Linked DNA regions of Macaca fascicularis. The protein of the gene in region 2 purifies or fractionates together with the protein of the main gene of each other region. This does not show direct contact. Links are inferred from orthologs where the notes say so. Each region holds a gene or a part of one and is shown on either strand. Other genes may lie near its edges.

The links.
Region 1: the proteins of EEF1A1 (region 2) and VARS1 purify together in Homo sapiens (affinity purification with mass spectrometry; 3 studies listed by BioGRID and IntAct, counting the BioPlex papers as one, with this or other methods). This does not show direct contact. The link is inferred for Macaca fascicularis from reciprocal best matches to the Homo sapiens genes EEF1A1 and VARS1.
Region 3: the proteins of EEF1A1 (region 2) and GAPDH fractionate together in Homo sapiens (co-fractionation; 3 studies listed by BioGRID). This does not show direct contact. The link is inferred for Macaca fascicularis from reciprocal best matches to the Homo sapiens genes EEF1A1 and GAPDH.
Region 4: the proteins of EEF1A1 (region 2) and EEF1B2 purify together in Homo sapiens (affinity purification with mass spectrometry; 3 studies listed by BioGRID and IntAct, counting the BioPlex papers as one, with this or other methods). This does not show direct contact. The link is inferred for Macaca fascicularis from reciprocal best matches to the Homo sapiens genes EEF1A1 and EEF1B2.
Region 5: the proteins of EEF1A1 (region 2) and EEF2 fractionate together in Homo sapiens (co-fractionation; 3 studies listed by BioGRID). This does not show direct contact. The link is inferred for Macaca fascicularis from reciprocal best matches to the Homo sapiens genes EEF1A1 and EEF2.
Region 6: the proteins of EEF1A1 (region 2) and TUBB fractionate together in Homo sapiens (co-fractionation; 3 studies listed by BioGRID). This does not show direct contact. The link is inferred for Macaca fascicularis from reciprocal best matches to the Homo sapiens genes EEF1A1 and TUBB.

The regions. Positions count from the first base shown.
Region 1 is NC_088378.1:139,923,106-139,927,439, forward strand, and holds part of VARS1 (valine--tRNA ligase), read left to right. Parts: intron 1-222; coding exon 223-357; intron 358-447; coding exon 448-586; intron 587-826; coding exon 827-951; intron 952-1,040; coding exon 1,041-1,128; intron 1,129-1,380; coding exon 1,381-1,481; intron 1,482-1,614; coding exon 1,615-1,742; intron 1,743-4,334. UniProt on the Homo sapiens protein: Catalyzes the attachment of valine to tRNA(Val).
Region 2 is NC_088378.1:101,521,037-101,525,800, reverse strand, and holds the start of EEF1A1 (elongation factor 1-alpha 1), read right to left. Parts: upstream 3,309-4,764; 5' UTR 2,900-3,308; intron 471-2,899; exon of another isoform or gene 436-470; intron 1-435. UniProt on the Homo sapiens protein: Translation elongation factor that catalyzes the GTP-dependent binding of aminoacyl-tRNA (aa-tRNA) to the A-site of ribosomes during the elongation phase of protein synthesis.
Region 3 is NC_088385.1:7,455,363-7,460,159, reverse strand, and holds the start of GAPDH (glyceraldehyde-3-phosphate dehydrogenase), read right to left. Parts: upstream 3,338-4,797; 5' UTR 3,193-3,337; intron 3,021-3,192; 5' UTR 3,004-3,020; coding exon 2,975-3,003; exon of another isoform or gene 2,467-2,974; intron 1,667-2,466; exon of another isoform or gene 1,326-1,666; coding exon of another isoform or gene 1,300-1,325; coding exon 1,200-1,299; intron 1,119-1,199; coding exon 1,012-1,118; intron 890-1,011; coding exon 799-889; intron 709-798; coding exon 593-708; intron 506-592; coding exon 424-505; intron 220-423; coding exon 1-219. UniProt on the Homo sapiens protein: Has both glyceraldehyde-3-phosphate dehydrogenase and nitrosylase activities, thereby playing a role in glycolysis and nuclear functions, respectively.
Region 4 is NC_088386.1:102,092,021-102,096,990, reverse strand, and holds EEF1B2 (elongation factor 1-beta), read right to left. Parts: upstream 3,282-4,970; 5' UTR 3,197-3,281; coding exon 3,117-3,196; intron 2,597-3,116; coding exon 2,474-2,596; intron 1,838-2,473; coding exon 1,711-1,837; intron 1,307-1,710; exon of another isoform or gene 1,228-1,306; intron 1,148-1,227; coding exon 1,081-1,147; intron 955-1,080; exon of another isoform or gene 825-954; intron 695-824; coding exon 569-694; intron 446-568; coding exon 291-445; 3' UTR 246-290; downstream 1-245. UniProt on the Homo sapiens protein: Catalytic subunit of the guanine nucleotide exchange factor (GEF) (eEF1B subcomplex) of the eukaryotic elongation factor 1 complex (eEF1).
Region 5 is NC_088393.1:4,703,093-4,708,177, forward strand, and holds the start of EEF2 (elongation factor 2), read right to left. Parts: upstream 3,154-5,085; 5' UTR 3,071-3,153; coding exon 3,068-3,070; intron 2,049-3,067; coding exon 1,834-2,048; intron 940-1,833; coding exon 758-939; intron 667-757; coding exon 455-666; intron 221-454; exon of another isoform or gene 155-220; intron 70-154; coding exon 1-69. UniProt on the Homo sapiens protein: Catalyzes the GTP-dependent ribosomal translocation step during translation elongation.
Region 6 is NC_088378.1:141,932,266-141,937,256, forward strand, and holds the start of TUBB (tubulin beta chain), read right to left. Parts: upstream 3,144-4,991; 5' UTR 2,985-3,143; coding exon 2,928-2,984; intron 1,911-2,927; exon of another isoform or gene 1,797-1,910; intron 968-1,796; coding exon 859-967; intron 590-858; coding exon 479-589; intron 161-478; coding exon 1-160. UniProt on the Homo sapiens protein: Tubulin is the major constituent of microtubules, a cylinder consisting of laterally associated linear protofilaments composed of alpha- and beta-tubulin heterodimers.

The DNA.
Region 1 (4,334 bases), about 38 Mb from region 2:
AATCTTTACTTCTATGCTTAACATATTGCATCTAACACATAAGTATTGAGTTTCATTTGCTGGATGAGTCAGAAGTATTTTTATTATGACTACTTGAGTGAAGAAATGGGACTCAGAGGTGGTGATTTGTTGGAGTGGGGTGGAGGGAGGCCAAAAGGAGGGTTGTGGTGGGAGATGGAGGCGGGCCAAACCTTGTCTCACACCTCTTCCCCTTCCTGCCAGGCTGTGCTGGGGGCCCTGGGCAGGGCCTTGAGCCCCTTGGAGGAGTGGCTTCGGCTGCACACCTACTTGGCCGGGGAGGCCCCTACTCTGGCTGACCTGGCGGCTGTCACAGCCTTGCTGCTGCCTTTCCGATACGTGAGTCACCAGGCCTGGGGAAGAACAAGACTGCTTCCCTCAAACCTCACTATAGGGTGACTGAGAATAGTCATTTATTTCGTGTTCCAGGTCCTAGACCCACCTGCCCGCCGGATCTGGAATAATGTGACTCGCTGGTTTGTCACGTGTGTCCGGCAGCCAGAATTCCGAGCGGTGCTGGGAGAAGTAGTTCTATACTCAGGGGCCAGGCCTCTCTCTCATCAGCCAGGTGAGGCAGGGTGAGGAGTTGGAGGATAGGGGCTTCCATGGGGCCTTCCATGCAACTCACTTTCTTTTTTTCATAGAAATGGCAGAATCACTGGGGCAGGGTCCTGCGGGAGAGGAGGGGGAGGGGGGAGGCCAGCATGGGCGAGACCTCGGGCATCTGAAATAGCCCATCTGAAACCTAGTAGTGCCATCCAAGAGGGTCCCCAGCTGGCTGAGTCTGAATTTCTGTGCTTCTCTCTAGGCCCCGAGACTCCTGCCCTCCCAAAGACAGCTGCTCAGCTCAAGAAAGAGGCAAAGAAACGGGAGAAGCTAGAGAAATTCCAACAGAAGCAGAAGATCCAACAGCAGCAGCCACCTGCAGGGGAGGTGAGAGGCGAGGGTGGAGCTGGAAGGAAAGTTGCTGTGTGCAGTGATGGGGTGGCTGATGCCTGGGCCTATGTCTTCTCCCTCCCAAGCAGAAGAAACCAAAACCAGAGAAGAGGGAGAAACGGGATCCTGGGGTCATTACCTATGACCTCCCAACCCCACCCGGGGAAAAGAAAGGTACTAGGAGTGGGAAGGGGCTCACCTCTCAGCAGCCCCTTCCAAGTTTTCACCCTATCTTGCTCTGTTCTTGCTCTCACCACTTTGTTTGGTGAGGATTTGCAGACCCCCTCCCCTGCCCCTAGGCCCCTCAAATGCTTGTCCTACGATGTAAGCGACATTCAGAGAGGGAGATCCTGATCCCTCTCTGCTAGCCCGTCTCCTTCCTGGTGCTCTCAGCCACGCACTGAGCCCTCCCTTCCTCTCCCCCAGATGTCAGTGGCCCCATGCCCGACTCCTACAGCCCTCGGTATGTGGAGGCTGCCTGGTACCCTTGGTGGGAGCAGCAGGGCTTCTTCAAGCCAGAGTATGGGGTGAGTGGGCACTGCTGCCCAGGCCCAGAGTGGGTGGGGTGGGGAAGGGCAGGACTGAAGGACGTGTTGCCTGGGAGGGGCTGGGAGAGGTGACCTGAGGCCTTAAACATGTGCCATCCTTCTCCACCATCAGCGTCCTAATGTGTCAGCAGCAAATCCCCGAGGTGTCTTCATGATGTGCATCCCACCCCCCAACGTGACAGGCTCCCTGCACCTGGGCCATGCGCTCACCAACGCCATCCAGGACTCCCTGACTCGATGGTGAGCTCCTATCCGCACCTCCCTCTGGTTCCCTCTGCCTCATCTGGCTCTCTCCTCTTGGCTGACAGCCCCCCAGCCTCTCTCCTTCTGGGTTGGTGCTTACCTCTGCCCCCAGAGGCGCTACACTTCTCTCTCTCATTCCCATCTGATCATGTAGCTTCCTCTCCTAGTCCAGTACTCCCATGCAACACTGCCACTTGCAGACTCTCTTCTCTCCCTTCTTTCTTTATTTAATTTTAATTTAAGTTAATTTAAATTTTTGTGAAGATGGGTTTTCACTTTGTTGCTCAGTCTGGTCTCCAGGTCAAGTGATTCTCCTGCCTCAGCCTCCCAGGGTGCTGGAATTATAGGTGTGAGGCACCACACCCAGCCTATCCCTTCTTTTTCTAGTAACAATAACATTATTTTGAATTTAATTAAAAAAATATATATATATATTTTTTTTTTTTTGGAGACAGAGTCTTGTTCTGTTGCCCAGGCTGGAGTGCAGTGACACCATCTTGGCTCATGGCAACCTCCGCCTCCTGGGTTCAAGTGATTCTCCTGCCTCAGCCTCCCAAGTAGCTGGGATTACAGGAATCTGCCACCGCAACTGACCAAAATATATGAATATATTCTTTTTTTTTTTTTTTTGAGACAGAGTCTCGCTCTGTCGCCCAGGTTGGAGTGCAGTGACCGGATCTCAGCTCACTGCAAGCTCCCCCTCCCGGGTTTACACCATTCTCCTGCCTCAGCCTCCTGAGGAGCTGGGACTACAGGCGCCCGCCACCTCGCCCGGCTAGTTTTTTGTATTTTTTAGTAGAGACGGGGTTTCACCGTGTAGGCCAGGATGGTCTCGATCTCCTGACCTCGTGATCCGCCCGTCTCGGCCTCCCAAAGTGCTGGGGTTACAGGCTTGAGCCACCATGCCCGGCCTATGAATATATTCTTATAAGAAATTTAAATTTTCAAATCCCCTTGACCACCCCCCCACACCTACTTCCTCCCAAGATTTAGCCATTGTTATCACTTTGATGTGTATCTTTCCAGATCTTTCCTATTTACTTACATATACATGTACCCATAGAAATTTATAGTTCTCCTTTTGGGTGAGTCTTTTCTATATTTTAACATAAAGGGTTCACATTACACATGTTATGCGCTAGCTTTCTTCTTACACTTAACACTTTCTCTTGGAGATCTTTCCTTGTCCTTACACACATACCACACATACTGACTTCCTTCTTTTTCATTGTTCCATAATATCCCATAGTGTGGCTATACCATAGTGAAGTCACTCTTTTTTTTTTTTTTTTTGAGACAGAGTTTCGCTCTTTTTGCTCAGGCTGGAGTGCAGTGGCGCAATCTCTGCTCACTTCAACCTCCACCTCCTAGGTTCAAGCGATTCTCTTGCCTCAGCCTCCCAAGTAGCTGGCATTACAGGCACCTGCCACCACACCCGGCTAATTTTTGTATTTTTAGTAGAGATGGGGTTTCACCATGTTGACCAGGCTGGTCTCGAACTCCTGACCTCAGGTGATCTGCCTGCCTCAACCTCCCAAAGTGCTGGGATTACAGGCGTGAGTGAGCTACTGCTCCCAGCCTGGAGTCACTTTTTAATTAATGGTTCTTTCTGGTTTGTTGTTGTTGTTGTTGTTGAAAACCTTACTCTAATGCACATCCCTGTATATCAAGCTTGTCCAGCCTGCAGCCTGTGGGCCACTTGTGGCCCGGGAAGGCTTTGAATGCAGCTTAACACAAATTTGTAAACTTTCTTTAAGCATTTAAGATTGTGTGTGTGTGTGTGTGTGTGTGTGTGTGTTTTAAGCTCATCAGCTATCGTTAGTGTTAGTGTATTTTTATTTATTTATTTTTATTTTTTATTTTTTTTGAGATGAGTGTCGCTCTGTCGCCCAGGCTGGAGTGCAGTGGCACAATCTGGGCTCACTGCAAGCTCCAAGCTCCGCCTCCCAGGTTAACGCCATTCTCCTGCCTCATCCTCCTGAGTAGCTGGGACTACAGGCGCCCGCCACCACACTCAGCTAATTTTTTCATTTTTATTTTTGCTAGAGACAGGGTTTCCCCATGTTAGCCAGGATGGTCTCGATCTCCTGACCTCGTGATCTACCCGCCTCGGCCTCCCAAAGTTCTGGGATTACAGGCGTGAACCACCGCGCCCGGCCAGTGTTAGTGTATTTTATGTGTGGCCCAAGACAGTTCTTCCGTGTGGCCCAGGGAAGCCAAAAGATTGGATACCCCTGCTGTACATGCTTGCTCAAGCATGTGTGGAAGGGTTTCACTGGTGTAGCTATCAAGAAGTGAAACTGCTAGGTCGGCAGGGCACACCTATATTAAGTACGCACAGAAGCTGCCAGGTTGCCCTGCAGAATGGCTTTGCTGATTGATACCTCCAGGAATTGCTGTGAGAGGATTCATTTCCCCACCCTTTCCAAGCCTGAGCATTAGGGTTGCCTAATTAGTTTTGCCAATCTGATGGACAAAAAAATGATACCTCTGTTACTTTACTTTGTACTTTTCTGATTACTATTGAAATTGTACCTATTTCCATATTTCTTGGCCAGTCAGGTTTACCCGTATGTGAATTGTCTGTAT
Region 2 (4,764 bases):
GCTCGCAGGCCCCGCCTCGCCGAACATGTGCGCTGGGACGCACGAGCCCCGTCGCAGCCCGCGGCCCCCAAAACCCCAATATCAGTGTGCAGATCCTGGTCCGCATTTATAAGATTATCTCGCCAGAAAAAAGGCGTTGCAGCTGGTCATCAAAAATTTTAAATGGCTAGAAACTTAGTGAAAGCAGCGGGGCAGGCGCGAAGGTGCTACCAGATTCGCACGCGGCAGCCCCAGAGCCCAAGCCAGGCCTCGACTCAAGCACGAGGCGAAGGGACTCCTTAAGTGCAAGGCCTCGACCTCTCCCACCCACTTCCAACCCGAAGCTCGGGATCAAGAATCACGTACAGCGGCCAGGGGCGTGTAAGTAATAAAAGGCACGCGAGGGCCATAGCCCGTAAAGAGGCCAGGCCCGCAGGAGCCACACACAGTACTTACCTGTGTTCTGGCGGCAAACCCGTTGCGAAAAAGAACGTTCACAGCGACTACTGCACTTATATACGGTTCTCCCCCACCCTCGGGAAAAGGGCGGAGCCAGTACACGACATCACTTTCCCAGTTTACCCCGCGCCACCTTCTCTAGGCACCGGTTCAATTGCCGACCCCTCCCCCCAACTTCTCGGGGACTGTGGGCGATGTGCGCTCTGCCCACTGACGGGCACCGGAGCCTCACGCATGCTCTTCTCCACCTTGGTGATGACGAGAGCGGGCGTGTGAGGGGGCGGGAACGCAGCGATCTCTGGGTTCTAGGTTAGTGGGAGTTTAACGACGGTCCCTGGGATTCCCCAAGGCAGGGGCGAGTCCTTTTGTATGAATTACTCTCAGCTCCGGCCGGGGCGGGGGGGGAAGAGGAGGGGGAGGGGGAGGCGACGAGGTGGCGGCCTGGAAGGGACGTCCAGAATCTTTCCTCTACCATTGCTAGCTTAGCCCCAAAGGTTGTGTTGAGATTAGGGTGTACCTTCGCCCCCCAATCAGCCTCCTGTCCTCAGCCTTGCTATCTCGCTAGTCCGTGACAAATCCCTAGAGCGTCGTCTTCTGCCGGTCTCAGCCCAGCCCCGGGTTGGCTCCTCCTCCGCCCCGGCTTCCGCGCCCCTCCCGCGTGGCAAGGAGTACCAGGCCCGGGGACCCCGAGGGGCTTGGGGCGAAGGGTCTGGACTGGAGGACTCCTTAACGGCTCACGGACCTGCGAGAGGTTCGGCTCGATGGCCGTGAGCTCGACGAATCCGCTCCTGTGCTGGCCTCTTGGCTCCTTCCATTCAAAGCCAGCTGCTTTTATCAAAGCCCGTAACACGTCATCTCCCCCTGGTACTCCAGATGTCCAGGCTTTCAGTTTAGAATAGACTCAGTCCTACAGTTAGCTTTAGATCTAATTCTAGTTTTGTTACGCCAAAAAGTTCCTGCGAGTGTGTGTGTGCCTCATGGTACTTTTTAAATTAAAAGGTGTACAGTCATTTGATTGCAAACATAAGGAAGCTAAAAAGCTTTCAAATTCAGATTTTCCACGTGATCTCATGTAGAGACTAAGATCTACAGCATCAGCAAGTTTATCCACCCAGTTTCCTAACCCCAACACTTGCTATGAAGTCACAGCTTCTCCTATTTAAATAAGTGCCTATTATATTTAAATAAGTGCTTTCTTTTTCTGTCATCCTATAGATTGTAACTGCATTTTAGCATAAATCTAGGGCAAGATTGGATGAGCTTGGCCGTTTTGGATGGCTATCAAGACAGGCCTTGGGAAATGCTCCTCTGAGGAATGAAGAACGTTTATTTTTAATGAGCTAATTACTAGATCATTATGTTTCTTCTTCCAGCTGTAGAATATTACTGCCCAGCTTCTCGAACAAACTTATTTATTAACAAGTATTTGAGAACCTACTATGTGGCCAACGCTAAGTACTGTGGAGTTCCTTCTGGAGAGGAACCCACAATCAAATTGGAAGAGGAAAACAAGTTGGGAAGCAGTTAAAGGCAAACGCGTATGGTGCTTTCTTGGTTTTTGTATCTTTGTAGTATAAAGTTTTCCTAGTCCATTCGGTTTTCACAGTCCACTTTTTTTTCCTTTTTTTTTTTTCCGGATGGAGTCCTACTCTGTTGCCCAGGCTGGGGTGCAGTGGCGCGATCTCGGCTCACTGCAAGTTCTGCCTCCCAGGTTCAAGCTATTCTCCTGCCTCAGTCTCCGGAGTAGCTGGGGCTACAAGCGCGCCCCACAAATTTTTGTATTTTTAGAAGAGACGGAGTTTCACCATGTTGGCCAGGCTGGTCTCGAACTGCTGACCTCAAGTGATCCACCCGCCTCAGTCTCCCATAGTGCTGGGATTACAGGCGTGAGCCACAGCGCCCAGCCACAGTCAAAAGTTTTTCCTCAAGCCCCTGTGATTGCGGATAATAGTAAACGCTTTATAAATACCTTACAGAGAATGTTTTTTAAAATATCACGCAAGGAATGGCAAAATTACATGAATCCTTGATTTATACCTTAGTAACCTATTGCGCAACACCGACTGGGTGTTCTGAGTATTGCGATAGTGGCTTGCGATAGAGACTTTCATTAGGTGAAGGGAGATCTCAATTCTTGCGTTTAAGAACCAACACTGGACCGGGCGCCGTGGCTCAATGCCTATAATACCAGCACCTTGGGAGGCCAAGGCGGACGTATAACTTGAGGCCAGGAGTTCGAGACCAGCCTGGTCAACATGGTGAAACCCTGTCTCTACTAAAAATACAAAATTAGCCGGGCGTGGTGGCGCATGCCTGTAATCCCAGCTGCTCGGGAGGCTGAGGCAGGAGAATCGCTTGAGCCCGGGAAGCGGAGGTTGCAGTGAGCCAAGATCACGCAATTGCACTCCATCCTGGGTGACGGAGTGAGACCTTGTCTCAAAACAAAACAAAAAACCAATACCTTTGAGCCCATCGGAGCCGTATTATTGTGCGTTGGGGTAGTCGCTGGCCACGAGCATTTTCTCAGGGCAGAGATCACATATCTGCTCTCAGTCCGGCAGGGGTGGGCCGGAAGCTGGAGAGGGACTGGAACGCCGGTCCCGGGGAAGCCCCGCGCTCACCCGGCGCGCCCGGCTTCCTAGGGAGGGAGGCTGGGGCGGCAAGGCGGGCGCGGGTGGTCCTTGCGCCGCGCCAGCTCGCCAGGCCACATCGCTGGCGTTTCTCCAGCGCTGGGTCACCTGCGGGCCGGCGGGGTCCCGCGGCGAACAGCTGAGCGGTATGGATCCGCCACTCGAGCCTCCCCAGCGTCAGGTCGCCAGGGTCCGCCCTGTCTCTCCCCCCACCTTGAGGTCGCTTTTCTTCCGCCTTCTGACTGCGGAAGGAAAGGCCAGGGAGGAGGCAGAAAACCTCACGTGGCTCGGGGTGAGGGTCGGTTTTTGTCACCGTGAGCTGGCCTCTAAAAAACTTTTTAAGTCTCAAGTCTTTTTTTTCCTTCTTATTTTAAATCCCTTTTTCCCCAGACCCTATGTTTTCAACATAATCATAACGGATTCCCCGCACCGTACGGGAGATCCATTATGCTTTTTACTGTCTTAAATGTTAAAGCGGTAACAGTAATGATGTTGAGGCTCGTAAATATGTTTTGGGGTTATAATCTAAGGTGATATTTGTTGAAGGTTTTTCCTTTTTTTTTTTTTTTTGGAGATGGGGTCTTGCTCTGTCGCCCAGGCTGGAATGCAGTGGCGCGATCTCGGCTCACTGCAAGCTCCCCTTCCCGGGTTCACGCCATTCTCCTGCCTCAGCCTCCCGAGTAGCTGGGACTACAGGCGCCCGCCACCACGCCCGGCTAATTTTTTGTATTTTTAGTAGAGACGGGGTTTCACCGTGTTAGCCAGGACGGTCTCGCTTGCTCATAACCATTTAGAGTGACAAACTTAAAATACATTGTAAGTAAACATCTACATGACCCCTTTTAGGAAGAAAAACAATTATTTCAGTTATTTACATAGTAATAAGGCAAACAAGAATCCTTCTTTGAGGTACATAATTGTGATTCACTGAGCTTTCAATATAGTCTAATCACTCTGCTATTAGTCTAATTTAAAGCAGCCTTAAGTAGTTACATTTTGCCATGGCTTGCCACGTGAAAATGATTTTTAAATCTTTTTATCTGCTGTATCTACCGCTGAAGAAAAGATGATAGCCAGGTGTGATGGCTCACGCCTGTAATCCCAGCACTTTGGGAGGCTGAGGCAGGTGGATCACCTGAGGTAAGAGTTCGAGACCAGGCTGGCTAACATGGTGAGACTCCCGTCTCTACTAAAAATACAAAAATTAACCAGGCATGGTGGTGTGCACCTGTAATCACAGCTACATGGGCGGCTGAGGCAGGAGAATCGCTTGAACCTGGGAGGAGGAGGTTGCAGTGAGCAGAAATCGTGCCACTGCACTCTAGCCTGGGTAACAAAGTAAGACTCCATCTCAGAAAAACACTATATATATATGTGTGTGTATACACACACACACACACATATATATATATATATATATATATATATTTAAAGGGGTATTTTAGAATATGATTAAGCCAAGGAACTACTTGGACTGAGAATCCAAATAAAATGGTGTTTTAGTGTGACAGGCACTGTTCTAGTATTTGCAATATTTATTGTAATCCTACCACCCACATGGTATAGATGGAGCAGCAATGGGCAACAGATAGTTTATGCATAATAAGCAAATATAGACATATATTCTTTTTAAAAATTTTACCTTCTTTTTGCACAAAATGGTAAAATACAATGTGCCACCTTGCTTTTTTCACCT
Region 3 (4,797 bases), on a different chromosome or scaffold from region 2:
ACGGCAGGTCAGGTCCACCACTGACACGTTGGCAGTGGGGACACGGAAGGCCATGCCAGTGAGCTTCCCGTTCAGCTCAGGGATGACCTTGCCCACAGCCTTGGCAGCGCCAGTAGAGGCAGGGATGATGTTCTGGAGAGCTCCGCGGCCATCACGCCACAGTTTCCCGGAGGGGCCATCCACAGTCTTCTGGGTGGCAGTGATGGCGTGGACTGTGGTCTGGAAAAGGAGGGAGTGAGGCCCTGCAGAGTGCTCCCCACATCACCACCCCTCTACCTCCCTCCCCACCTTGAAAGGAAATTATGGGAGAGCCAGTCCCCAGAAGGCCCAGCCCCCAGGGTTGCATGCAGCCCTGGCCGGGAGGAGGAGCCAGCCCTGCATGAGAAAGGCAGCAGCCTCAGTCCCATTCCCCAGCTCTCATACCATGAGTCCTTCCACGATACCAAAGTTGTCATGGATGACCTTGGCCAGGGGTGCTAAGCAGTTGGTGGTGCAGGAGGCGTTGCTGCAAACAAAGAGGGGGCGCAAGTCAGGGGAGCGTGTCCACAGGGTGCCAGGCTGGCCGCTTCTCCACCGGCCCTGCCTTCCTCACCTGACGATCTTGAGGCTGTTGTCATACTTCTCATGGTTCACACCCATGACGAACATGGGGGCGTCAGCAGAGGGGGCAGAGATGATGACCCTTTTGGCTCCCCCCTGCAAATGAGCCTACAGCAGAGAAGTAGACAGTTATAAACCCGGGTTCTGCCTCTGCAGGGCTGAGCCAGCTTCCCCTACCGCGGGCCCTCCTGCACTCACCCCAGCCTTCTCCGTGGTGGTGAAGACGCCAGTGGACTCCACGACGTACTCAGCGCCAGCATCGCCCCACTTGATTTTGGAGGGATCTCGCCTATGGGGTGGGGGAGACAGGGATAGGACATATTGAGGGACACGAGGTTACCATGTACCCAAGGGAGCCGCACCACCCTAGCTGCCCCCCACAGCACATTTCTCCCACTGCCTTCCACTCACTCCTGGAAGATGGTGATGGGGCTTCCATTGATGACGAGCTTCCCGTTCTCAGCCTTCACGGTGCCATGGAACTTGCCATGGGTGGAATCATACTGGAACATGTAAACCTGGGGGAATACGCAAGGGTGTGAAGGGGCTGCCTGGCAGCCAGGTGGCTCCTCCCACATCAGCTTTGGGGCAGCACTCACCATGTAGTTGAGGTCAATGAAGGGGTCATTGATGGCAACAATATCCACTTTACCAGAGTTAAAAGCAGCCCTGGTGACCAGGCGCCCAATACGACCAAATCTAAGAGACAAGAGGCAAGAAGGCATGAGGAGAGGAGGCTTCTCCACAGTATGTGAGCTGCCCTAGGACACCTCTCCATTAAGAGGGCGAATGCAGCATCTCCTTACCCCCAGCATCTCCTTACCTCCATTAAGAGGTGAATTGTATCTCCCTTGAGCTCCCCTGCCAGGCTGGCCTGGCTTTACGGCATGGCTGCAACTGAAGGCTCCACTGCTGCCTAACACCCCCCGTCATAGGAAGCCCTTCCAGGAGAAGCGGCCATGTGGGGCACTGCCACCCACAGTCTGGGCACAAGCTTTGCACGTGGCATTCAGCACCTCACTATGCCACCCCAGGAATGCTTGCTGCTGCCTAGCTCAGCTTCAAACTGCACCGTTTAAGGAGAAAAGATTTGTACACTCAGCATCACCAAACTCAAAGGGCAGGAGTAAAGGTCAGAAATTAATTGGACAGGGCAAGCCCACCCCTTCTCTAAGTCCCGCCTACAAAAGGGACAGAGATTGGGCCGGGGGAAGAGGGGAAGTTGTTTTTTAACCCCCTAGTCCCAGGGCTTTAATTTGCAAGCTTCCAGTCCTTTCCTAGCTCTTTTCCAGAATTCAGGAGTGGGAGCACAGGTGTGTGCATGTGTGTGGGAGAAGGGATGGGAGACGGCCCAAGCCCAGGCCCCCAGTTACAGAAAGGTCAGCAGCTATATTTATCCTCAGACCAGGGTGCGGTGGGAGATCTGGTTTCTGGAAGACGGAATGGGGAGAAGGGCAGGTTTCCCGAGGCTCCCAGACACCCAATCCTCCGGGTGACATTTACAGCCTGGCCTTTGGGGTGGGGGGTCAACGCTAGGCTGGCAGGGGAAGAGGGGGCCATAAGGTGAGCCGCCGCTGCAGAAAGGGGCCACCGCCAGAGGGGCCATTTTGCGGTGGAAATGTCCTTTTCCAACTACCGATGACTCAGCTCCCCCCGGCTTGGCACCAAGCCACAGCCACCACACCTCTGGAGGGAGGGGACGCAGGAGGACCTCCATAAACCCACTTCTTTGATTTACCAGAGAATTATCTAGAAAAAGCATCACCCGGAGGGGAAATAGGGCTTGCAGCTCAGGGGCCGACTTGAGAGCAGGGGCCGGGAAGCCTCGCTCCACCTGACTTCCCCGCCACACGCGACTCCACCCACCGAGGCAGGAGCGCAGGGTTAGTCACCGGCAGGGTTTCCTAACGGCGGCCCATTCATTTCCTTCCCGGTTGCAACATGGCGGCCGCTCTACCGCAGGCGCAGCCTCCGGACTGGGATGCACCCGCTGCGCACTAGCATCCCGGGGCCTGCGGTGCCGGAGGCCATGGGGGAGGGGCTCCTCTGCGACACGTGACCTCGCAGAGCGCGAAAGGAAAGAAAGCGTCCCCAGCTAGGGGTCCGGGTCGGATGGAATCTCGGGCGGGAGTAGGGACCTCCTGTCCTGGGGACTAGGGAAGGCAGGCCCCGGGCAGATGGCGCCGCAAGGGCGGAGCTGCACAGGGCGCCACAGCCTGGGTGCGGGGCTCCGCCAGGTCCGAGCGCTGACCTTGAGCTCTCCTTGCCGGACGCAGCTACCCTACCCCATACGACAGCAAAGACCCGGAGCCCGCAAGGCTCGTAGACGCAGTTTGCGGGCGGCCCAGGGCCCCCCAGCCACCCACGAACTCACCCGTTGACTCCGACCTTCACCTTCCCCATGGTGTCTCAGGGATGCGCTGCGCGGAGAGAGAGAACAGTGAGCGCCTAGTGGTCCCGGTCGACACCCACGCCTCCCCTCCCCTCCCCCCACCAGCCTCCATGCCCAGCCCGCGCCGCATCACGTCCTCCGCCCGCCCCTGCAATGCGGAGGCAGCCCGGGCCCGGACCCGGACCCTGGCCCGCGCCCACCCCGCAGCGGCGCGAACACGTCCGGCCCACGCCCGCTCCTGCCGCCTTCAGGCCCGTCCCTAGCCTCCGGGCTCCTCTCCGCCCGTCTTCACCTGGCGATGCAAGAGAAAATGCGACTGACTCTCGAACAGGAGGAGCAGAGAGCGCAGGGGGAGGCTGCGGGCTCAATTTATAGAAACCCGGGGGCGCGGCGGCAGGCGGTGACTCTGACCCCGCCTCCCGCCGGGCTCAGCCAGTCCCAGTCCAAGGACTTGAGGCCTGAGCTACGTGCGCCCGTAAAACCGCGAGTAGCGGGGCCCTGCTTTCTCCCTGCTCTTTTTTTTTTTCCGCAGCCGCCTAGTTCAACTGGGCACGCATCAAGCGTGTGGGCCCCGACGGAGGGGGGAAGGGACTGAGACTGGCCCGATGGGAGGTGATCGGTGCTGCTTCCCAGGACTGGAGTGTGGGCAGCAGGAGACTAGGGAGTCAAGGACGGGGGCCCTTACACGCACGGATGAAACAGGACTTTGGGAGCGACTGAGATGGGGAATTGGAGCCCGAGCCCTGCACGGCTCGCGGCTGCACGCGGCCTGCCCCCTCCCCTTTCTTTCAAAGGCTGAGAGGCGGGAAAGTTGGGGAACTTCTCCTCGAGGCTCTGCGGTAGTGACACCGGAATAGCTGAAGCAAAGGGCTAGGAGGGGCCCGTGGGCCCTTCCCAGCCCCCACTTCCCCCTCCCCATCTCCTGGCTCCTGGCCTCTCTGGGACCGAGGCCTGGCCTGGGCACTGGGCAGTGGGGGCCTGGAGAGGAAGGAGGCTCGGGAGGCGGCTTGAGGGGGAGGTTTCTACACGGAAGGTCACGATGTCCTGCAGCCCTGTAGCTTGGACCTGATGATTAGGGCAGACAATCCAGGCCCTGTGTGCACCAGCGGCTCTCCCCGGGCTGGGGCCCCAGGCGGAGGACAGGATGGCTGGTGGGGGCCCAGAGGCCTCCCACAAAGTCACTCCTGGAGCCCCGTGGGCTGTGCTGCCTAGGGTGAGAGACAGTGTGCCTTTCACTCCATCCAGCCCGGGGCGAAGAGCGGGACGTGAGGGCGGAAGTGCCTCCCCGCCCTGGGACGTGCAGGCGAGCCAGGAGCCAGGGACTCCCCTTCACTGGCTTCGCTGGGGGATATTGAGGGCAGGGTGAGTCAAGAAGAGGGAAAAAGTGGGAAAAGAGGTCTTGGGCACATGGTGGGAACAGGCCCCCTGCCCCTTCCCACAGGGTATCCATTTCTCTGGTAGGAGGGCAGAGGGCCAGGTTTGTGAGTGTGGGATGGGAGCGTGCTGAACACTTGTAAGGAAGGGGGTGGGGTGGGGTGGCCTTGGCCCATCAGCAGGTGCATGGGAGGGGGATCCTGGGCCTCTTTGCTGGCCCAGCATAACCTGACACCAGCCCCCTGCCCTTCTAGCTAAAAGCCGTTTGCTAAGTTTAGCCCGCCTGGTGATAATCTTTGCTTAAAAGGCACCCACAGGACTCCAGTCCTTGTCCCTGCCTTTCTGGGATTGCCTTTCCTCCTGGGACCCAGAACCAGGCTGTGTCCTCGTCTGGCTGCCATTGGCATGGTTGGTGCGGGCTTTTCACAATG
Region 4 (4,970 bases), on a different chromosome or scaffold from region 2:
GCAGGATCTCTCCCCATTGCCCAGGCTGGTATTAGCCTCCTGGTATCAATCCACCCACTTCAGCTTCCCAAATTGCTGGGATTACAGGCATGAACCACCACACCTGGCCTGCACTACAATTTTCTAACAACAAAGCCGAACCAAATTTTTATTATTTAGGAATCACATATTCATTTAATTCCTTCCCTCAAAATGAAAGGAATATATACACCACCCTCCTATGTAACATACTCAAGAGCCAAAGGTAATCTTTCAAGCTTTTATTTAAATGCCATGATCCAGGATGGATTTTAGATCTTGTTGAAAGCAGCCACATCCATGGACTGCACATAGTCCTCAAAAGCAGTGATCTGCTCCTCCAGCATATCTGTTCCAACTTTATCATCTTCAACTACACACTGTATTTGAAGTTTCTTAATGCCATATCCCACTGGAACTAGTTTAGCTAAAAAGAGCATTAAGAAAAATCTTAGTTAGAAAAGTCTTGTAGAGGAAGGTTGAAGCTGTATACAAATTCCAGATGTCAGTTTCAAAAAAAAAAAAAAAAAAAGGCAAAGCCTAAACTCACATGAGCCCCAGACTAAGCCGTCTGCTTGAATGCTTCTGACGCACTCCTCTAATTTTGCCATATCTGTCTCATCATCCCAAGGTTTCACATCTAGTAAGATGGAAGACTTGGCAACAAGTGCAGGTTCTAAAAAAATAAACAGCATTATTCAAATAATGAACTGTATTTTGTTACCTTACTCCAAGACACAAACAAATCACCTCAATTTGTTTTGAGATTGACTATCTCCTTAGCCAAACAAAACTACAGATACATCTTGTGTCTGTCACACATATGCCCACTTTCTGTTTTGCTAAGAAAGAGGTGTTTGTGTTAACAGTTTCTTTCCCACAGAGGAATGCCACAACTGCTACCATAAGAACAGCTGCAGACCAGTAGCTGTGGAAGAACTTCTACAGGAGGTTTTAAAATATTGACCTGTTCAAGGAATGTGGAGGAAATTACTTAAAGGTCAAGCTTTGAAAAAGATTACTTACATTATCATGAAATGAAGTTAAAAACAAATGACCTACTTTTGGCTTTCTTTGATTCATATTGTGCAAGACGTTCTTCTCTTAGCCTCTTAGCCTCTTCACTTTCCTGTAAAGAAAAAAAATTAATCCACTTCAGAAAGTCGGTTGTCCTCTGCTTAAAGCTAGTGGGGTCATCACAAAAAAGACTGGCTTAATCAGAAAAAAGCAAATCCATCACGAACTCAGCCGAAAGATGGTGATTTGATTTTATTCATCATGCAACCAGTCAGAATTTGAAAAAGGCATATAAGTTAAAGCCAGGATTCAAATCCAGGCAATTTGGCTTAACCACATTGATAAAATTGCTGATCGATGTATTCTTTTTTTTTTTTTGAGACGGAGTCTTGCTCTGTCGCCCAGGCTGGAGTGCAGTGGCATGATCTCGGCTTACTGCAATCTCCGCCTCCCAGGTTCAAGCAATTCTCTGCCTTAGCCTCCTGAGTAGCTGGGATTACAGACACCCGCCACATTTTTTTAAATTTTTAGAACAGACAGGGTTTCACCATCTTGGTCAGGCTGGTCTTGAACTCCTGACCTCGTGATTCACCCGCCTCAGCCTCCCAACATGCTGGGATTACAGGCGTGAGCCACCGTGTCTGGCCGATATATTCTTTATAGAAGATGCCATACCTCCTCATCATCAGATCCAAAGAGATCAATATCATCATCATCTTTACTATCTGTAGCTCCACTTCCTGTAGTGTCTTCCACATCAGCAGGACCATACTTGCCCAAAGCTTTCTTCACTCCTGGCAGGCTTGAAAAACATTTAAATTCAACCACTATTGAGCTAGTATAACATACTTTTCCAGACAATACAAAATAACTTGTTTTAATCACTACTTATCACTAGATCCCTTTTGCAATAATAATTTACCCTTTCACATGCTCCCAGGTAAACACTATCATATGTTCAACTCCTCACCCGACAAGCATTAGTACCATGTGAGACATTATTTTCAATACTCACTATGATTTACTCTTTCAGTATGAACATTTCTGTTTGAGATTTCATTAAGTATGCTCAGTTCCATTCTTAGTGAACTGGAGTCCACTTCCCCAAACTTCCACCCTTGTTGGCAGTTTCAGAAGAATGGCCAAGGACTGAATGAATGAGCCACCCTCTCACCCCAGAGGTGGGCCCCCCAGGTCAAGGTCGAGGCACATTGGCAGGGCAGTGTGGGGAAAAGTTGAATTGCTGCTGTCCATGTTCTACCTGTTCTGTGAAAAAATGGAGGGCTTCAGTCTCTTGGCCTTCTCAGGTTACAGAAAAATTTAGCTTACAATACCCCAACAAAACTAAAGTAGCCTGGGTCTAGTTTTGTCATGTGAACATCCTGATAAAGCTTCGAGAGTAGTCTTATTCTTCAGCTAGATACAAAGATGATTTTACCTGGCCTTTTCCTTTTCGTAGGACTTGATGTGATTATACCAACGTAGGGCATGACACAAGTCAGCAGGCGGTGGCCCGGACACGGCTTCAAATACTGCCACATCTGCTTGTGATGGCACATACCTGCCAATGACACAGAGACATTCACACACACCTTTGAAAAACAAACGCCAGCGAATAAATAATCAGTGCCTATGCATCACATTAATTAGTGGGCACTAACTCCAGTAGGATTGCTTTAATGCTTTTCTTTTCTTATTATCTCCTTAAAATCAAACCATATGTTTGGGTCACCGCGCTATCCTGAGAAATGTCTGCAGACCTCAAATACTGCAATCTCTAACGTTGCTCTATCTACAACCTAACATGTATTAACTGGGCAGCGATGTGGAAACACCTGGCTGAATTAAGTGTAAATAAAGCACATTTTAACCTTCCTTTGCTCGTGAGCCGCTCCCCGGAGGCCGGGCTCGCACCACACGAGGGCCTTGGGAGATGGCCACGGGGCGCTTTCCCGTCATCCTCGAAAGGGCCCTGGGGCCCGGTCTCCCTCCCTCCAGCGGCAGCCGACACGCTGCGCCACGTGGCCCCGGCCCCGGTCCCAGAAACCCCTCCACCACCCCGACTCAGCCGGTCCGCTCACCCCTCGATGTAGCTCTTGTCCGCCAGGTAATCGTTGAGCACCTGGAGGCCGGCGGGGCTTTTCAGGTCTCCGAAACCCATGGTGTCGGCTGTATCCGAGAGCTGGGAAACAGCAGAAAGAGAGCGCACAAGTTGTGGGCTCCCCGCGCTTAAGAGAGGAAAAAGGGCCCGGAGAAGCCGGAAAATTCCTTATATAGAGACGGAGGCGTTTCCCTCCACCACGCCGGACCGAAGGTTAAAGGTCAAAGTACGTTAGCATTCCCACTTCTCCACGTACGAATTGGGGGCCCTGAATTAAACGGCTCACAAATTGTCCCTGGATCTTTCGTTGCGTTTGGAAATAAATTAATAAAATGGGCATGTCTTAAGTTCATACCTCCACGGCTCCCGAAGATGACGGGAACCGCCCCTAGAAGCGCCGGAGATGACCGAAGACGCTCGGCCTCGAGGCTGCCGGCCACTTCCGGCGGAACTGCGGGTCCAAGTTGTCCTTCCCGCCTCCGGGCTGGGCCGACCTCAGCTCCGCCCTCTGGTCGGCTGACGGAAATTGCCGACAAACTTATCGAATGCAAGGATTCTAGTCCCTCCGGGCTTTCCGTTCTCCAGGCCCGGCTGACAGAGTTAGCTGAGGCCGCCATATTGAGTAAGCGACCCGGCCTCCAAGGGGGTAGTTGTGGTCCAGACAGTTTAGCAGAACAGTCTCCGCGGCTCCGGGGAGAAGGTGAGGTCTTGTATGGATGGGAAGGGTGAGGTGCATGGGTCAGAGGCTTATTTATTGACGGGACTGTTTCCTTTGGCCCACGCGACTTAGTCTTCTCTTGTCCTTGACTGGCAGCCGCCTCCCGCCCCGCCGCCTCGGAAGCCTCTGAGAGCCGGCAAGTGGGGCTTTTAGCCACGGTCTCTGGTCTGATGGAGCAGAAAGGAAGATGAGGATTAGGGGGCCCTCGGGAGCGCTGGCCCGAATGCGGGCTTGTAGGTGACCTTCCCTCTGCAGGGAAAATTCAGGACATTCCCCTCTCAGAGGAGGCCGTTTTATTCCCCGGGAGAGGACCAGTGTCCGATGACTTAAGCCTTAAGACTGAGCCTTTCCCCCCAGATTTTTACACGCCTGGTACAGTACATGATTGTTTGGTCGCTGTTGTGTTAGCAGTGGCTCACGCTTCTGTTGTCCTTATTTGTTTTGTCCATTGACCACGTTGGACAGAATTTTTAAATTCCTTTCACTAACGGGAAATTGAGAAAAATGACTTTTTGAAAAGTTAGCTCAGGGTTGCATTGCGAATAACAAAATATTGTTTACAAGTTATTGGGATCTATGCTTGTACTGTGAGGTCTTGGATCAGACACAGCTTCACACACGAATTGACAGTATAGAAGTGTAACAATAACTTTTTGATGAATAAACAGGTTATTTTTGTTTTGCGGAATATTCTTGTTTTCACCGACTTAACGCTGCCAGAGCACCTGCACTTTTTAAATCCGGGAAAGTGGTCCCTACAAATTAACGACCAGAAATTAGAGATTCAGTTCACTTAACAGTTACTGAACGTTTACTACGAGCCAGAAATGAGTCCGTAAAGAAGAATAAAATGGGTGATATTCTGGGGAATCGTCAGGAAATGTTAGATAGGCTGGTCAATGAAACTGAGAAAAGGCTTCGAAGCCAAGATTTGAAGGATAAGGAGGGGCCAGGGAAGAACATTTCAGTCCGAGGTCACTGCCAGTGTCAAGAGGGGAGGGGCTGTGTGGGAATAGTGTGGAAGCCTGGTGACCTGTTAAGAAGATATTGAAATACTCCAGGCAAGGAGTGATGGTGGATTGGGATAGGGTGGTACCTTGGAAGGCAGAAAGTAGA
Region 5 (5,085 bases), on a different chromosome or scaffold from region 2:
CTGCTTCAGGGTGAAGGCCCACCCATGGAGACCAGACCCGAAGCCCACGGTACCAAGGACAGGATCGATCTGGAAGTATGAGAAATGGGAAGCGACTGTGAGGAGGGCCCCTGGGCAGAGCCTGCAGTTGCGGACTAGGTGCCTCAGGCATGGGCCTCAGACGCTGGATTTCTTCAGTAGACATCAGGTCAAAGTGAAGAAATGATCAGTCATCACGAACAAGGGGGCCAGCCCCTCCACCACCCACAACACCGTTCCTTGCGCTCGCCACTTCCAGCTGCCCAAAGATCAAGGGCTGGGTCAAGAAGGTTGAGAACATTCCAGCCCCCTTCTCTGTCACCCCAACATTCCTGGCAAAAACACACTTCCAGTCCCCTCAGCTCAACTCCGCTCCCCGCCAGCTCCTGCGGTGCCCACTGCGGCGGGCACACCACCCAGCCAGGGAGGGCCGTACCATGATGTTGCCCATGGGGCCGCTCTCGCCCTCGCCGTAGGTGGAGATGATGACGTTCACGTTCTCCACAATGCGCTGGAAGGTCTGGTAGAGCTCCTCGGGCTCCAGCTGCAGCTCCAGCAGGGCACGGTCCATCTTGTTCATCATCAGCACAGGCTTGATGCGCTCCGCAATGGCCTGCCGCAGCACTGTCTCCGTCTGCACACACACGCCTAGGGATGCAGGGCACGGGGCGGCGCTGTCATCCTCAAACAGGGAAGGCCCCGGGTTCTAGGCCCTGCCTCAGGGGGACCCGCTGCTTACCTGACACGCAGTCCACCACAACCAATGCACCATCAGTGACTCGGAGGGCAGCGGTCACCTCCGAGGAGAAGTCGACGTGCCCGGGGGAGTCGATGAGGTTAATGAGGAAGCCGGCGCCGTCCTTGCTCTGCTTGATGAAGTTCAAGTCATTCTCCGAGAGCTCGTAGAAGAGGGAGATGGCACTGATGGAGGGAGGGATCCATCAGGGGGACAGGATGCACACACCTGGCCCAGGGAGGCTGGGATGCTGTCAGAAGCCAGGCTGCTCCTCCCTCCATGACTCATCCCTTGAGAGGCTCCCACAAGACCCAACCCACCCACAAGACCCAACCCACCCTTGTCCTTTGCCTCCACAATACTCTGTCCGAGACAGGCCCCCCGCCCCCCCGACAGGGAACTCCTGGTACCAGCCCCACAGCCAGCTACTCAGAGCCCTCCTGACCAGACACTCTGCCCCACCGACTTGGTCCCCCCAAGACTCATCACACCTGACTCAAAGTAGCAATGAAAAGACCCCGCAGGACAGCAAAAGCCTTCAGAGACTCTGACCCTTCCCTCCTCACTTCTGCCCCTGCTCCAGTGAAAATGAAGAGCTTTAGCCAGAGACCCTCACTATGGTGCCAACCCAGGACAAAAGGCATTTGGGATCACTGTGCTCTGCGCTCACGTTTTAGACTCTCACCCCACTCACGTCAGGGGCCAGAAACTGTCACGGAATGAACGCCATCCAGTGCAACACAAGAGCTTCCCGCATCCTGAGTGCCAGGAACACCCCCCCTTCCAGGTGTGACAGCAAAACCCCTCCAGATATTGTAGGAGTGGCGGCAAGTCCCCCAGGGAAGGAGAACCACTGAGTGAAGCCCCTTCTCAAGAAAATCTTCCGGCTCGCAGTACCCCCAATCCCTGTGACTCTTGATCCCCGTCTCGCTGGACTGAACCTCACTCATTCTCCCATGAATTAAGAAACCAGGAGAAAGAGACGTTGCCTAGTCTCTCCCCGCCCACCCTGGCCCAGTGGCCTCCAGCTGCCAGGCCAACACCTCCCTGCCTGGGTACAGAGGGCACGGGGAGCTCACGTTGACTTGATGGTGATGCAACGCTCCTGCTCATCCTTCCGGGTGTCAGTGAAGCGTGTCTCCCCGGCCCGGGCCGAGGCGATGATGCCCGCCTTGCACACCAGGGAGTCTGTCAGCGTGGACTTGCCGTGGTCCACGTGGGCGATGACAGACATGTTTCGGATGTTGGCCTTCTTGTCCATGATGGCGCGGATCTGGTCTACCGTGAAGTTCACCTGGGCAAGAAGGGGAGGCTCAGACCAGCTCGAGATTTCCAGGAACACGGCTTGGCATGGAGCGTTCGGTCCAAACGAACCAGCATGCCCAAGGCCAGGAGGGGACTGGTGTTGGGGTACCCGAAGCCCACCCAATCCTGCCAGCCTAACACGCCTTGAGAACTACCCCACAATCTCCAAGGATCCACTGTCAACAGATGTCATCCAGAACGGACAACCCAGAAATAAAAGCGCTCAGAAATAAAACTCAGTGGCAACAGATTTCCTTGATACCGCATATAAACACTGAAGAGTTATTAGAGGCCAAACACGCAAGGGGTGAACCTTCTCCCAAAGCCCCCTCCACGTTGTCATCGGGCCACCCAGGCTTCCCCGACCAAAAACTGTCATAATAAAATGCAAGGTCACCCCTCGGCAAGAGGGATCACACAAGGCCACCCACCCCAGGAGATAACGGGGAGCCGGAACGGCCCTAACAGCCACAAGCCTACACCTCGTGTCTCAAAACGAGTCTTTGCACATTTCGGAGTCACAAGGACAAGCGCCTAGGGCCGACAGTTAACAGCATCAGGAGAAGATATTTGGGAGGAAAAGGGGAACCTTTCAGGTGTCGCTTTGCTGGTTCTGCCATTTCCCTGCCGCCCCTAGTCCCCCGGCAGAAAATCGATCTCAAACTCGCGGCCCGCGAGTTACATAAGGCGCCTCCCCGTCTCCCCGCTTCCACCGCGGTGCCCGCCATTACAACGCCTGCCACATCATCATACCCCACCCCCATCCTCCCTAACACCCCAGCTCCAGCCAGGTCTGGGCAAGGTTACGGCGCCCCCGGAAGCGGAGAAGGGGCTCCGTGAACAGTGCGGCGCACAGACATGGCGGCGACCGCTGCCCCAGCCCCGGCTCCTCCGGCTCTGCCGCCGCTACGTCTCCTCCCGGCACGGGCGACCCCAGCGTCTAGGCAGCGTCGGCCCCGCGGAGGTCCCGCCGCCGTTCCGGGACACCAGCGAGGCAGGGTTACTCACCATGGTGGCGGATGGCGGTGGATTCTCCCAGGTAGAACCGAATGAAGCGAGTCGCGCCGAGGATGGCGACGACGACGGCGGAAGAGAACGCTGACGTCAACACTCAGCACTTTATAGGCGGACGCCGGTTGGGCGGGTCATGTGACTGCGCTGCGGAGGCGGGGCGAAGTGACGCCGCGCAAGCGCACGGAGGCGTTCCCGCACAACTCCCCCGTTAACCCATTCGGCGCTGGCGAGGCTGATTTAGGATACAGTCTGGGCGTCTCGGGGATGGTGGTCGCCCTCGGTGTGCAGTGTTCAGGTGCACAAAGCAAAGAGCGCCGTTTTAGCTGAGAATAAGAACCATAGCAACGATATCAGCTTACAAAATGTCCAGCACTTCTATTAAAGCCACATTGCAAGGTGAATAGAGTCTGTGGATTTTACCCAAGTCAATTTCCCGGTTTGGGCGTTGTTATGTAAGCCGATATCCCTGGGAGAAGCAGAAGGAAAAAGGACACTCGCGACGACTATACTGTTTTTCAACTCCTTACCTGCAATTATTTCAAAATAAAAAGATTTATAAGAAGCAGGCATCGGAATCACTGATCCCACAAATGCATACTGAGCATCTATGCACCAGGCATTGTTAGAGGTTTTGTAGATACAGCAGTGGACAAAACACCTTGCTAGCTTGACCACACTGCGTGCACTTCTACTAACTACTAGGATTTCTCTTTGCCTCAGTTTCCTCGTCTGTAAATCGGAGGTGATCAATACCACTCTATTGTTTGAGGTGGGCTAAAACGAACTAAAGACATCTAAAAGAATTAGCACCGTGCCTGATACCCAACGCTCAATAAACGCTATGTATTTTAATTAGCTAAGATTGCTATTAATAAAACATTTATTTCAGGACTGGTTTGCCATGTCCCAGGCACCCGGCTAAGCGCTTTACTGGCACAATTTCATTTTCTAGTTCATTTCCTCTCCAGGGGGAGGCGCAGGAAGACTGTTTAGCATTTGTGTCCTAATCTGACCCTAAGAAACAGTTGAATGTGTTTCATAGCTCATGAATTGGCATTCAATTGAGTATCTCTATTCCTTATGAAAAGCCCAGCCCGCTGTTTAGCACATAGTAGGTACTCAGTATTTCTTGCATGAATGATGTTCTCGCAGTGCAAATGAACCCCCTGCGGCACGTCTTTCCCTAAACTCACTTTGTGAAACAGAAGAGCCACTGCAGTGCTTTTCCTGGGCTGAGAGAGGGGGAGGTGTGGATCCACAAAAAGCAATGCAAATTCCAGCCTGGACTCTAAAATAAACCTGTACACTCCTCCCCCTCACAAATGCTTCGGGCACTTTGCTTTACAAAGCGCTGTCTCAACCTTGGTTTTCATTTAATGGATGATTGCTATTGCTATCACCATTTAACCCGATGGAAAACGGAAAGTATCTTCTGAAAGAATTGAGGCTCCGAAAGGCAGATGGCATGGCAGGGAGCAGATGTGAGCGCCCGGGGTCCCTAACCACCTACACCTGTGCCGGTGACGCGTTTAATGTTAAGTTACAAGTCAAGCGCATGCGCCATTTGGGGGCTGAGTTTTGAGCAGAGAGGTATTCCGTTTCTCGTTCTTAATAATAAAATTCTTCAAAATCTTTAAATGCACTAAGCACCTACTACGTGTTGGGTTCCCTATTGGGCGCTTCGCAGCCGTTTTTTCCTTGCAAGGTGGGGGCATTTCAGAGATGTAATGGAAAGGTTTTCATTGAAAGAGGGGTTAGGCGAGAGGCGGAGGTTGCAGTTAGCCGAGATCGCGCCACTGCACTCCAGCCTGGTGACAGAGCGAGACTCCGTCTCAAAAAAATTAAAAAATTAAAAAGGGGTTAGGCTGGGTGCAGTGGCTCACGCCTGTAATCCCAGAACTTTGGGAGGCCAAGGCAGGCAGATCACCTGAGGTTGGGAGTTCGAGACCAGCCTACTCAACATGGAGAAACCCCGTCTTTACTAAAAATTAAAAAAAAAAAAAAAAAAAAAT
Region 6 (4,991 bases), about 40 Mb from region 2:
CCAGAGCCTGTGCCTCCACCCAGTGAGTGGGTCAGCTGGAAGCCCTGCAGGCAGTCACAGCTCTCTGCCTCCTTCCGTACCACATCCAGGACAGAATCAACCAGCTCGGCCCCCTCTGTGTAGTGGCCTTTGGCCCAGTTGTTACCTGCCCCAGACTGACCTGGAATGCAGTCAGGAGAAAAGCTCAATTAACAGGGTATGGAAGATACATGATGTTTCCATCTTTCAACTTTAGAAATAATTCCCTTGGATGTATCTTCTTTCTCCTTCACTGTGATGTATTCTCCCCCCACTGCCCCATAATGTACCAGCAACAGCAGGCACTACCTCTACCCTACCTCTACCCTCCATTAGATTTCAGAATACAGTTCTTAGCACTCCAGTACAACAATCATCTCCTAACTTTTGCTGTGTCCTTGCACCCAAATAAGTTGAACACGATAGTATATCATCTGCTAATATCATCTGTATAACTTACCAAATACAAAGTTGTCTGGTCTAAAGATCTGGCCAAAAGGACCTGAGCGAACAGAGTCCATGGTCCCAGGTTCTAGATCCACCAGGATGGCACGAGGAACATATTTGCCACCTATAAAGAATAAAGTTAAGAGCTGTGAGATCTGGCAGAGGGAAAGGTTTATAGATACACTGGGAATGGAAGACAGCAGGGACCCAAGACTTGTTCCAGGTCCTGCCACCAGGTGGCAGCAGACGTCTTTGGCCCCGACGGTGGTTCACAAAAGGGAGAAAATGATAGATTCACCGAAAGGGGATAAGGCGTGCCAGGAATGGAAAGAGACCCCAGAGAAGTGGGAGACAGGGAAGGGGAACCTGAGCTGCCCGGGCTCTTGCCCTTACCTGTGGCTTCATTGTAGTACACGGAGATGCGGTCCAGCTGCAGGTCGCTGTCCCCGTGGTAGGTGCCGGTGGGGTCGATGCCATGTTCATCACTGATCACCTCCCAGAACTGCCGGGCAGGAGCAACGAGACCACAAGTCAAGTCCCAGTCAACTACGTCCCCAACTACCATTTTATTTCATCTTTTTCTTAACTTTTTTCTTTTTTTTTTTGAGACGGAGTCTCGCTCTGTCGCCAGGCTGGAGTGCAATGGCGCTATCTCGGCTCACTGCAACCTCTGCTTCCCGGGTTCAAGCGATTCTCCTGCCTCAGCCTCCGGAGTAGCTGGGACTACAGGCGCGCGCCACCACGCCCAGCTAATTTTTTGTATTTTTAGTAGAGACGGGTTTCACCATGTTGACCAGGATGGTCTAGATCTCTTGATCCGCCCACCTCGGCCTCCTAAAGTGCTGGGATTACAGGCGTGAGCCACCGCGCCCAGCTTCTTTTAATTTTTAAGACAGGGTCTTCCTCTGTTGCCCAGCCTGCAGTGCAGTGGTGCAATCACGGATCACTACAGCCTGAAACTCCCAGGCTCAACCGATCCTCCCATCTCAGCCTCTCGAATAGCTGGGACCACAGACGCGCGCCACCACACCCAGTTAATTTTTTTTTTTTTTTTTTGAAGAGATGTGGCCGGGGGGAGGGGTCTCGCTTTGTTGCCCAGGATGGTCTCAAACCCCTGAGCGGGAGCGATCCCAATTAGCCCGCCTCAGCCCCACATCTCCCATTTTAATCCCACACGCGCTCAGGCCGTTGTTCTAGGGCCTGGCATCCCGTGTGCCTGCCACACCCTTCCCCTAGACACTCGCTCCCCCGGGAAAGCCACAGCTTTCCCGGCTCGGGATTATGTGCAGCGGGTCCCAAGTGCTCGGTGGGCGGATGGAGGTCGACCATACTTGGATAAGCGCCGCTGTTCTTCCCCCGAGCTGGGCACCGCCCCACCGCGCGGCGCACAAAAGGCTCGGGGCACTAGAAGAGCTGCTGCCGCAGTCGACCACCCCCCACCCTCCACGTGACTGCGGCGCACGCGCAGGTCGAGCCGCCGACAAAAGACTTCGCACGTGGGCGGGGCCAGGGGCAAGAATTCCGCGCGAGGGGCGGGGCCCAGGGTAGCGCGCCCCTCCCGGCGGGCAACGCCGCATTGTCCCCGCGCGCCAGCGGCGCCCTGGCCCCGCCCCGCAGGGCCCCGCCCTTCTGCTACAACGTAGCACCCGCACTTCCTCCCGCCCCTCCCCCGCTACACTGTAACCGCGCGCAAAAAAAAAAAAACCCTTGGCCTCGGAATTTTATTCCTTTGCTAGATTTCTCCCCCTTGATTTAAAGCATTCTTTCTCTCCCATTAAGTCCTGAAGGACTCGTTAAAGAAAACCACACACCCCCATTTTCTCGACATATCAGTTCACGCCCTAAAGAGGTCTCGCTTAGGTGCCATGAAAGCAAGAAAAATTAATCCCGTTCTTATTCTCCTTCCACCCCGGAACAACTACAGGACCGGCCCTCCGGGGTCGCGGGCGCCCTGGGGTCCCTGATCTTTTGTGAATGGTAGCGCCCAGCGCAGCCCACCCTGGCGCATCGCCCCCCGACCTTTGCACTGGAGCTCTCTGCAGCCGCCCGACAGCCTCACCCCTTCCCGCTCCCGTTTGGCCCTAAGAACCCCGCAGGGGGGGCTGGGCGGGATGCACATGGGCAAAACCTCGCCCCGCTTTGTCTCCGACTGTTTCCGCATCTCTCTCCCTGCCCGGTTCTTGGACCGTTAGAAGCCCTTTTAAGTAACATATGTCCTTGGTCTTCCCGCCCCCGAAACCCGAAGAGCCCTTTTACTAGTTTCTCCAAAATGTGCCTGCCAAGAAAAATGATTCCCAGTTTTCCAAAAGCAAATGCTAGTTATTATATATATAAATGTAACAAACTTGGGAGGGGCAAAGCTTGATTAAGAATGGAGAGTGCAAATGCCCCACAACCATTTTTTCATAACTTACCTGGATTTTTCCTTCTAAAAAGAAATAAAAGAGGTGTAAAATTCTTACCTTGGCACCGATCTGGTTGCCACACTGACCGGCCTGGATGTGCACGATTTCCCTCATGGTTAAAATTAATTTTTTTTGCTCGCCTCAAGGAATGTATGGGGCAAGAAAATAAGTAATTTTTTTTCTCTGCAGGTCGCAGGCTGGAAGGTTGGAACGCGCCCCAGACGCTGGAGCAGCGAGGTGCGAACGCGGCGGCAGGAAGGTTCTGAGAGGGAGAAAGGAGAGGGGAGGGCGCGGAGGGAAGGCAGGCTGGGCGGGGCGCGCGTGCGCCGGGGCTGGGAGGCGGGAGAATCGGCCCCGCGCGCGGTCGGGAGACAAAGCCTCATCGAGCCTGGCCCTGATTAGTCGATGCCGGTCATGTACCAGGCGTCCATTGGCCTCTGAGCCAGTGGACGAGCGCAGTCCTCTTTGGGAGTTGTAGTCCCCTATTGTTGTTCACGGTGCAAAATGAAGTGACGAATGGGTGGGTACCGGTTTGGTTTTTGTTGGGTTTTTGTTTTGTAAATGAAAAACGACCTTGCGCAAGATTCCTTTCCTCTGTGCCTGAGGTTTTTGTACAAAAAGTGAGCAGTTCCCGGGGATGCAGGGATTGAGAAGTCTGGGGTTCCAGAAGTTGGGTGGTGAGGTACGCCCTAAAAGCTCCCAGCTGCAGTACCTCTAGGGAAGACAGAATTGCTTAGCTCAGCGAAAAATGGGGAGGAGTGTGGCACCGTGCTCTGCTACCTCTGGCCTTTGGTGACCCAAGTCATGAACTTAAGTAAGCTTCTGCTCTCTCAAATACTTCAAGAAGGGAATCGCCCTCTTGCTATTTCCTTGGAAATTTTCGAGTCATTGTTTTGAAAGAGAAACAAAATTGCAGCAAGGGCTTTTCAGGATAGAGATGTTGTCTGGAGAGTATGTTCAAAGAATAAAATAGTTTAGAGAAACCGACATCGGGGATTTGTGAAACTAGAAGTCTCCATCCACGTAGGAGATCTGGGCCTTAGGGCAGACTTTGAAGACACCTTGATCTTCTTGTCAAACAGGGAACTATGGAATGAGATGCCTGATAGATTTTCAGTTTTTTCAGCCTACCTTTTTATACATGTTAATGAAGTCAGTGGTTTTTCAATTCGCTTATTTCACTGACCAGGTGGCCGCCATTGCAACTCTGCAAGATACCCAGTATTGAAAAAGGAGAGAGGGGAAATTGATGGGGGAAAATTGGATGGGCTCAAGACAGAGTCCACCAGCTTCTTCCCAGAGATTTATTCACTTATTTGATAGTTACTATGTATCCACCAAATTAGGAACTATGGTTACAAAATGATTAATAATTAGTTCCCTGTCCTCCAGGATGTTGCAGTCTGGCCACTCAGAAATGTAGTATCGAGTCAACATCATTGTTCATTCACATTCGATTACACACAGATATATATATATATATATATATATATATATATATATATATATATATATATATAGTATTTTTGGTACAGACAGGGTTTCGCCATGTTAGCCAGGATGGCCTCAATCCCCTGACCTCGTGATTCGCCCGTCTTAGCCTCCCAAAGAGCTGGAATTACAGGCGTGAGCCACCGCGGCGGGCAGATCAATGTATTTCTAAGTTGCCTTCTAAATAAGGGAACATCAACTTGTGTAAGCCCTCTCTTCCCACTTAAAATATAATGCTCTATGTTTTAGGGAAATGAAAACAGTCATTTTGTGGGAGTGGAAATAACTCAAAATACACAATCAGATAACTTGTTTCAATTTGTCTCTATATTAGCTGTAGGATCCTAGGAAAATCCTTTTACTTTGCAGGGCTTCAACTCCTTGTTTGTAAAATCTGCTTATTTGACTGTTGTGGACAGAATTGAGATAACCAACAGAAAGGACTTTATGAATTATGCAAGTGTTATAGTTACCATTTTCTTCATGTCTTATTGTGAGATAATAAAATGGGCCGGGTGCGGTGGCTCACGCCTGTAATCCCAGCACATTGGGAAGCCCAGGTGGGAGGATCACCTGAGGTTGGGAGTTCTAGACCAGCCTGACCAACATGGAGAAACCCCGACTCTACTA